2 linked regions of the Ovis aries genome follow. The protein of the gene in region 1 interacts with the protein of each later gene in a biochemical or structural test. Links are inferred from orthologs where the notes say so. Each region holds a gene or a part of one and is shown on either strand. Other genes may lie near its edges. The genes, in order: JADE1 and KAT7.

The links.
Region 2: the proteins of JADE1 (region 1) and KAT7 form a complex in vitro, tested with the Homo sapiens proteins (2 studies listed by BioGRID). The link is inferred for Ovis aries from reciprocal best matches to the Homo sapiens genes JADE1 and KAT7.

The regions. Positions count from the first base shown.
Region 1 is NC_056070.1:29,204,647-29,208,462, forward strand, and holds part of JADE1 (protein Jade-1), read right to left. Parts: intron 3,215-3,816; coding exon 2,693-3,214; exon of another isoform or gene 2,565-2,692; intron 1-2,564.
Region 2 is NC_056064.1:36,546,552-36,549,575, forward strand, and holds part of KAT7 (histone acetyltransferase KAT7), read right to left. Parts: intron 1,720-3,024; coding exon 1,573-1,719; intron 978-1,572; coding exon 871-977; intron 1-870. UniProt on the Homo sapiens protein: Catalytic subunit of histone acetyltransferase HBO1 complexes, which specifically mediate acetylation of histone H3 at 'Lys-14' (H3K14ac), thereby regulating various processes, such as gene transcription, protein ubiquitination, immune regulation, stem cell pluripotent and self-renewal maintenance and embryonic development.

The sequences.
Region 1 (3,816 bases):
GGAACCCAACAATGATCTCAAGTTTTCTTGAATCCCAAACACTGCTTGCAACACTAGAGCTTAACTTGCCTTTTATGTTTACGACAACTGTAGCCTCTATCAGAATGTCAAAAGTGACCATCCCACTTAAAGCTGGACAGAATGGTCCCCCAGGGCCTGCTGTTTGGATGCCCCAGTGCCGAGGTGGTGTATTCTTATCTGAGAAAGTACTCCTTCTGCTGCTGCTGAATTCATGTTTAGTGCTTCCTTCAGAAGCCAATGTCTGGGGGAGGGCGATCCCACCAGAATGAAGTGGCAGCCTTGGCAACTTGGCATGGCACCCGCCTCATCGGTAATGGTGTCTTCAGGTCCCCACACCGTTGGGAGACCATTCCTGTCACCTGTCTGGTCCAGAACTGGAACGCAGGTGTGCAAGGCGCCCCCAAGGTGTGTATTTGCAGGAACAACCACCATTATCACTCAGCGTTGTCTGCATTTCTAACGAGGCCTATTCACTCCTCAGTTCTGAAGGGAACACATGCCTTGATCATGTCCTTCTTATTAACCACTAAGAAATGTTAATTACCTAGTGTGAATTACACTACCTAGTGTGTGAATTACCCAAGACTCAACTCACTTGAAAACAAATTTATGATTTGTTCTTATTGTCACCCCTGCTCTGAGGAGTCTTCTGCCCACTACTGTTTATAATTACAAATAACTGTACTCTCTGCAGCAAGGCCAGGATTTCCATTTTTTAAAGCCTCCACCCTAACTGGCCTTGTGGCACATTTTGGAAAACATGGTTTTCATTTTAATAAGCTTAAACTGACACTAAAGGCCCTAAAATCTTAACGACTCTTTAAAGTAAACGCAAGTAATGCCACACAGACAGAAATCCCGATTTATTCCCTATTCTCATACATCATTGGCATTCTACTTAGAAAGCAAGTGATGACTCAAAAAAAAACTTTAGAATTTCAAGTGCGTGTTAATCTGAGTATCTGCAGTACAGAAGTTAGTACACCACGAGCGTTTTCTACACTTTTATTCTGTGGTGATCGAGACACACACAGTCCAAACATCAGACTTCTCGTCGTCCCTCCTGAGGACTGACTCCAAAGCTCATGCAACCCCGAGTACAGCAGTTGTCGGGCTGGGACAAGGCTTCTCACCAGGATTCCACTTTATCCTTCTGAACCCTTTTCTCATCGCTAACAAAAAAGGTCACACAGACCTGTGATTGAGGCGAGGTCTTCTTCACACTCACCACCAGGGGGGGCACGGGAGCAGGAGAGCCTCAATTCCACACCCCTCGCCTCCCCTCTGCCTGAATCCTGGTGCGGTGTCACCGTCAGGTTCTAGAACAGTCTCTTCTAACGCAGGCCCACCAATACTCTCCCTGCCACGCCTCCTCTGCCAGGGTGGTGCTGGTGTCTGTGAGAGCCGGGGCTTTTGGGTTCGGTACTTCTCCCACGTAACCCTATTCGTTGCCTACGCTCTCACTTCCCATCAGCTCTGAGTCAGATTCTCTCCCAGGCAGGTGAATCACTAATAAGTTAGGTGCTTGGGGGAGATGCGTTAACCATTTCAGGCCACTTGGGTGCCTTTCAGCACAGGCTGCTCCTCCGTTCCATCTCCCGTGCACTAATGAATTTAATCGGAGCCGGCTGTTGGCAGCAGGGCAATCAGGGGAGCTGCCACAGAAGGTGCTCAGAGATGCATCACCAATTAGTAAGCTTCAGTCAGAAGCTACCTACGGGGAGCAGGAGGCCAGGGGGGAAAGACAGCCCGCTCCTGATTATTCCAGTAGCAGGAAAGGAGGTCCAGACGGGGACTCCAGAGACGCTGGGGAGATACAAAGCAGCAACAGCGGAAGGGAAGTGCCGCCAGCCGAGACTGCGGGCTGAAGTGTGATCCAGAAGTGTGAAACGGAGTGTGCTACTGTGCCCACGGGCTCCTCAGTCAGATCACAGGCCTCTGTGCACCAGGAATCCCACCCCACACCCACACCAGACAGAGCAGACAGACAGACACACGGACACAGTCACGGGCACACACACACAGCCTCGGTGACGACGGAGCACCTCGCTGCGGGAGAGCCTGGGGGAGCAGACACGCAGGGGCGCGGTGGCGATGCACGCAGGCTAGCACCCACGCCTGCTCTGCTCAGTCAGTGACTGCGAGGGCGACGGCCCCGTGAGGAGCCGAGGAACGGGGCTGGGCCCGAGAAGCAGTGCGCCGCTCTCCTCAGAGAGCCAGTGACCAGCACGTCGGGTGTGCCGCCCCAGACTGAACAAAAGATCTGCCTGCCTCTGCCCGCCCGCCCCAGCCCCCACACCATAAAATCCATTCTGGCTTTTCAGTCTGTAAACAATTCTAAGCCCATCCCCTGGCCATTTCCCCGGGGCTCAGTTCCCTCTAGCTCTAGAATGGAGGAGGGTAAAGAGGTACCCCATGTGATCTCCCAGAACAGTTAACTACAAGTGTTTAAAATTAAACCAGAGAAGCTCCCCATTCTGCGGTCATCTTGCGTGTGCGTACATCGAGTTTCCCAGCCCATTAATATATGGAACCAACACCACCTCATGCTGCGGTATGTACAGGGTCTGAGAGTAAATGAACCGGCTACCGTCCCTTGCTCTGGGCAAGCGGCCGTCTCTTTGCCGTCGTCTTCTCTAGGCCACTACAAGGTGTCAGTGTCGATCATTACCCTCTCCAGGTCCTGCCGCAGGTGCGTGAACAGCTGCAGCCTCCTAAACAAGACGTCCTGCTCCCGCTTGGCTAGATTGTCCTCTTCGTCTTTCTTTGGAGTGATGAGGGGCTTGTTGAAGTTGACCTTCCTCTTCAACTTCCAGTACTGGTACAGGAAGTCCACCACCTCCTCGGGCAGCCGCAGGGCCCTGGCCACGTCCAGCAGGTTGACGAACGTGTAAAACTCGTCCTCCAGCTGCTGCAGCTTCTGCTTACGGACACTGACCCGGTGGGCCTCCCCCCGGTTCTGCTCGAGGCCAGCGAAGGGCTCCAGCGGATCCCGCGGGGAGCACTCGGGAGCCCCATTCTCCTGAGCGGTCCCCTCACCAAGGCCCTCCTCGGCTTTGCGATGCGAGCTGTGCTTCGGGCAGTAGGACTTGAACTTGACTTCGTCGTTCTCTGCCAAGATAGTCTTCATCTCTAGGCCCCGGTCAAACGCACAGGTCACGTGGAAGGCTGTGCGGCAGTTCTTCACGGAGCACTGGCGAGAAAACAGAGAGCAAGCGGTGGGGTTAGGGAGGGACAGGACCCGAAGCCCTGAGCGCAAGCACCCCGTCCACCCGCACGCGCGTGTACCCGCATGCACACACGCACACACACGGGAAGAGCTGCACTTGGAGCGCTCAGGGACAGAACGGCTTCACGTGGATGACCCCTGGCAGATCTAATTGTGTTTTACATAAGCTATGGCTTGGGATTCAGGAGGCTTTTTTTCATTAACCAAACAGTAACTCTCTTACAAAAGCAACTGCATCCAGAATCACCTCGTAAGGCCCACGTAATTATACAGGTGGCACGTGCAGATGTTCTCAATACACAGCGTGCACTCTCAGGCATTCACTTGCTTTTTTACCCATCTGAGCTTTTCTAACGCCTGAGTGGTGAAATCTCCTCAAGAAGAGATGTTACAGGATCATGGGGGCCCTTCCCGTGTCCCCCAGGACGAGGCCCAACACGGGTGGCACACTCCTCCCAGCAGTGAGGGTTGCTCAAGACCCAGGAGGTGAATTAAAAACTCCCAAAGAGATGCAAGGAATCAGAGACTGGGACCACCCTGCACAGACAGCGTGAGACTAGTCTCTG
Region 2 (3,024 bases), on another chromosome or scaffold:
CTCCAGAGTAAATGTTGTAAGTCAACTGAAAAAAATTTTTAAATTGACATCAGTCAGGGCTACGGTTTTTCCAGTAGTCATATATGGATGTGAGAGTTGGACTGTGAAGAAAGCTGAGCGCTGAAGAATTGATGCTTTTGAACTGTGGTACTGGAGAAGACTCCTGAGAGTCCCTTGGACTGCAAGGAGATCCAACCAGTCCATTCTAAAGGAGATCAGCCCTGGGATTTCTTTGGAAGGAATGATGCTAAAGCTGAAACTCCAGTACTTTGGCCACCTCATGCGAGGAGTTGACTCATTGGAAAAGATTCTGCTTCTGGGAGGGATTTGGGGGCAGGAGGAAAAGGGGACGACCGAGGATGAGACGGCTGGATGGCATCACCGACTCAATGGACGTGAGTTTGACTGAACTCCAGGAGTTGGTGATGGACAGGGAGGCCTGGCGTGCCTGTGATGGGGTTGCAAAGAATTGGACACGACTGAGTGACTGAACTGAACTGAACTGAACTGAGATGGCATTTGTTAAAGGAATTTAAAACCACTTCTACAGGCCCTGGAGGTTATGGAGATTCTCCTCCACAGATGGGCACTCTTCTCTGATGTAAGAAAATCATCAAAGGACAGAAGTGCAACATAAAGCTGCTTAACTAGAGCTGTTAATGCTTCTGTCATCCAAGTATGAGACAGGAGTTTACCAGAAGCTTCTGATAAGGGTACAGTCGGAGACAAGTCTAACAGTGAGAGCAAAGGAAAAGCTGCATGGAGTCAAACTCTTTAAAAAGGGAAGGTTACCTTTAAGGTGTGAAGGTTCCACTTTGCTAGGCCTCAAGAGACATAAAGCAATGAGTAAAAGGCTAACAGAAACTTTACCTGTCTTTTCAAAACTAGGTGTTTTCCTTTCCAATACTTGAGCATCTGAAGGGCTTGCAGAGTGCTGACAATGTCCACAGGATTCACAGCTGTCTCCTGGCTAATTTCTGAAACAGAAGAGCTACTTGCTCAAAATGCAGACCTCCCCACTCCCTTACCAAGGACCCCTTTCCTTTGAAGGAAATCTACAGACTCCAAATATTTGGAATCTTTGCTACTTGACCCAAGCTGTCCACAAGTTTATAAAGTATTCATCTGACCACTTAAAATAACTACAAAAGAGGGGCAGTACAGCAGGAAACCACTTTGGCTCCTATAGACATTGAAGTCAAAGAACAAACTAAATTATTTCACTCTTGCATAAATATTCCAGGATGTTAGAAGTTCCTGTGTGTGCCAAATGACTTGAAGTTTTTCTTCTTTCTTGCTTTTGTTGAGAATTTTGTGAAATAAAGTGTTAGCAACCTAAAATTTGAGAAACCAAATCAGATAACCAGTCCCTAGGGCCAAATGCTCTGGAATCCTTAGGCACCTTGGTGAGTGGTCCACATCAGTTAGCCTTCCGCTCTCATATTCAGATGCAACACAGAATGTGGCATTACCTTCGCTGATTACAAAACATGAACCAGGCCAAACAGAAAAGTCAGAATATTCAGAGGAGCAAACATCTTAGGTAACATTCTCTAAGAGCAAAAAACCAACCTTTGATAGAAATCTCTTTGCCTTGGAAATTGTGCAGGTAACGAAGAAGCACTTCTTTCCAGTAACTGCGATAGCTTATGAGCCCCAGATCTGACAGTGGACGTTCTGGGGAGCCAACTTTTTCTTCCACTTTGGAAAGCAAATAACCTGCCAGAGAACAATGCAGATACTGTATCTCATCCTAATAAGAACAGCGTACCAAAATGGATAAAGATTTAAGGAATAGAGTCTGCTTGGCAATATCCATCAGGGTCCAGTCATTTAATGCAATGCTATGTATTAGCTGTAGTACAGTTGACTGCCTTTGTACAAACAAAAGGGGACGAATGAGTTTTCACATTTACTTATAATAGACATTTAATATAAAAGCCTTCTAGTGGAAGCCTGCACTAGAAACTTATTAATATTAATAGTTATCTGTAGGTATGCATTAAGAACAAAGTAGATAAGGAATTCCCTAGCAGTTCAGCGATTAAGACTCAGCGCTTTCACTGCCTGGGGCCCAGGTTTGATGCCTGGTCAAGGGTCTAAGATCCCACAAGCCAAAAAAGAGAACAGAGTAGATGGAAACAGATTTGAAAGCCATTTCACTATATAGCTTTCAAGCTTTTTCAGATTTTTGCACTTTATGGATTATCTCAGAACTTGCCTGGTGGTGAGGTGGACAAGAATACTCCTGCCAATGCAGGGGGTAAGGGTTCAATCCCAGGTCCAGGAAGATTCTACATGCTTCAGAGCAACTAAGCCTGAGCACCACAACTGACGAGCCTGCACCCTTAGAGCCCCAGAGCTGAAGCTGCTGAGCCTGAGTGCCTAGAGCCTGCGCTTCGTAATAAGAGCAGCCACCGGAATGTGAAGTCTGAATAGCGTACCAAAGAGTAGCCCCCGCTCGCTGAAGCTAGAGAAAGCCCAGGCAAAGCAACAAAGACCCAATGCAGCCAAAAATAAAGTAATTTAAAAAAAAAATTTTTTTTTTAAGTAACCCTAAAAATTCTTAAAAGAAAAAAAGAATGGATTATCTCAGTACTGCCTATGAAATATTGGTGGTGGGCAGCAGATGGGAATAGACATGATCTGAATTTCACAAAGTCTCCAGTTTTAACAGCTAAACATCTAACTTTCAACACCAGGGGGATGAAGTCAGCAAACTCATACTTCAGGAAACTAAAACTACTGGATAACCAACTTAAATAAATAGCAAAGAAAAAAAAGAGATGGAGCGGGAACCTCTAAACTAAAAACTGATTTATAAGCTACACAGTTCTATCTGTATTTGTATAAAAACAACTTTTTTTTTTAAAGAATCAAATCACAAAATAATGAAAATTTGAATAGTGTATTTTATGACATTAAGGAATTTTTTGTTTTGTAGGGCTTTTTGAGGTATAACAGACATTATACTTTTAGAGATTCCAAAATAACTGAGGGTGTGACTATAAGTAAAACAAGACT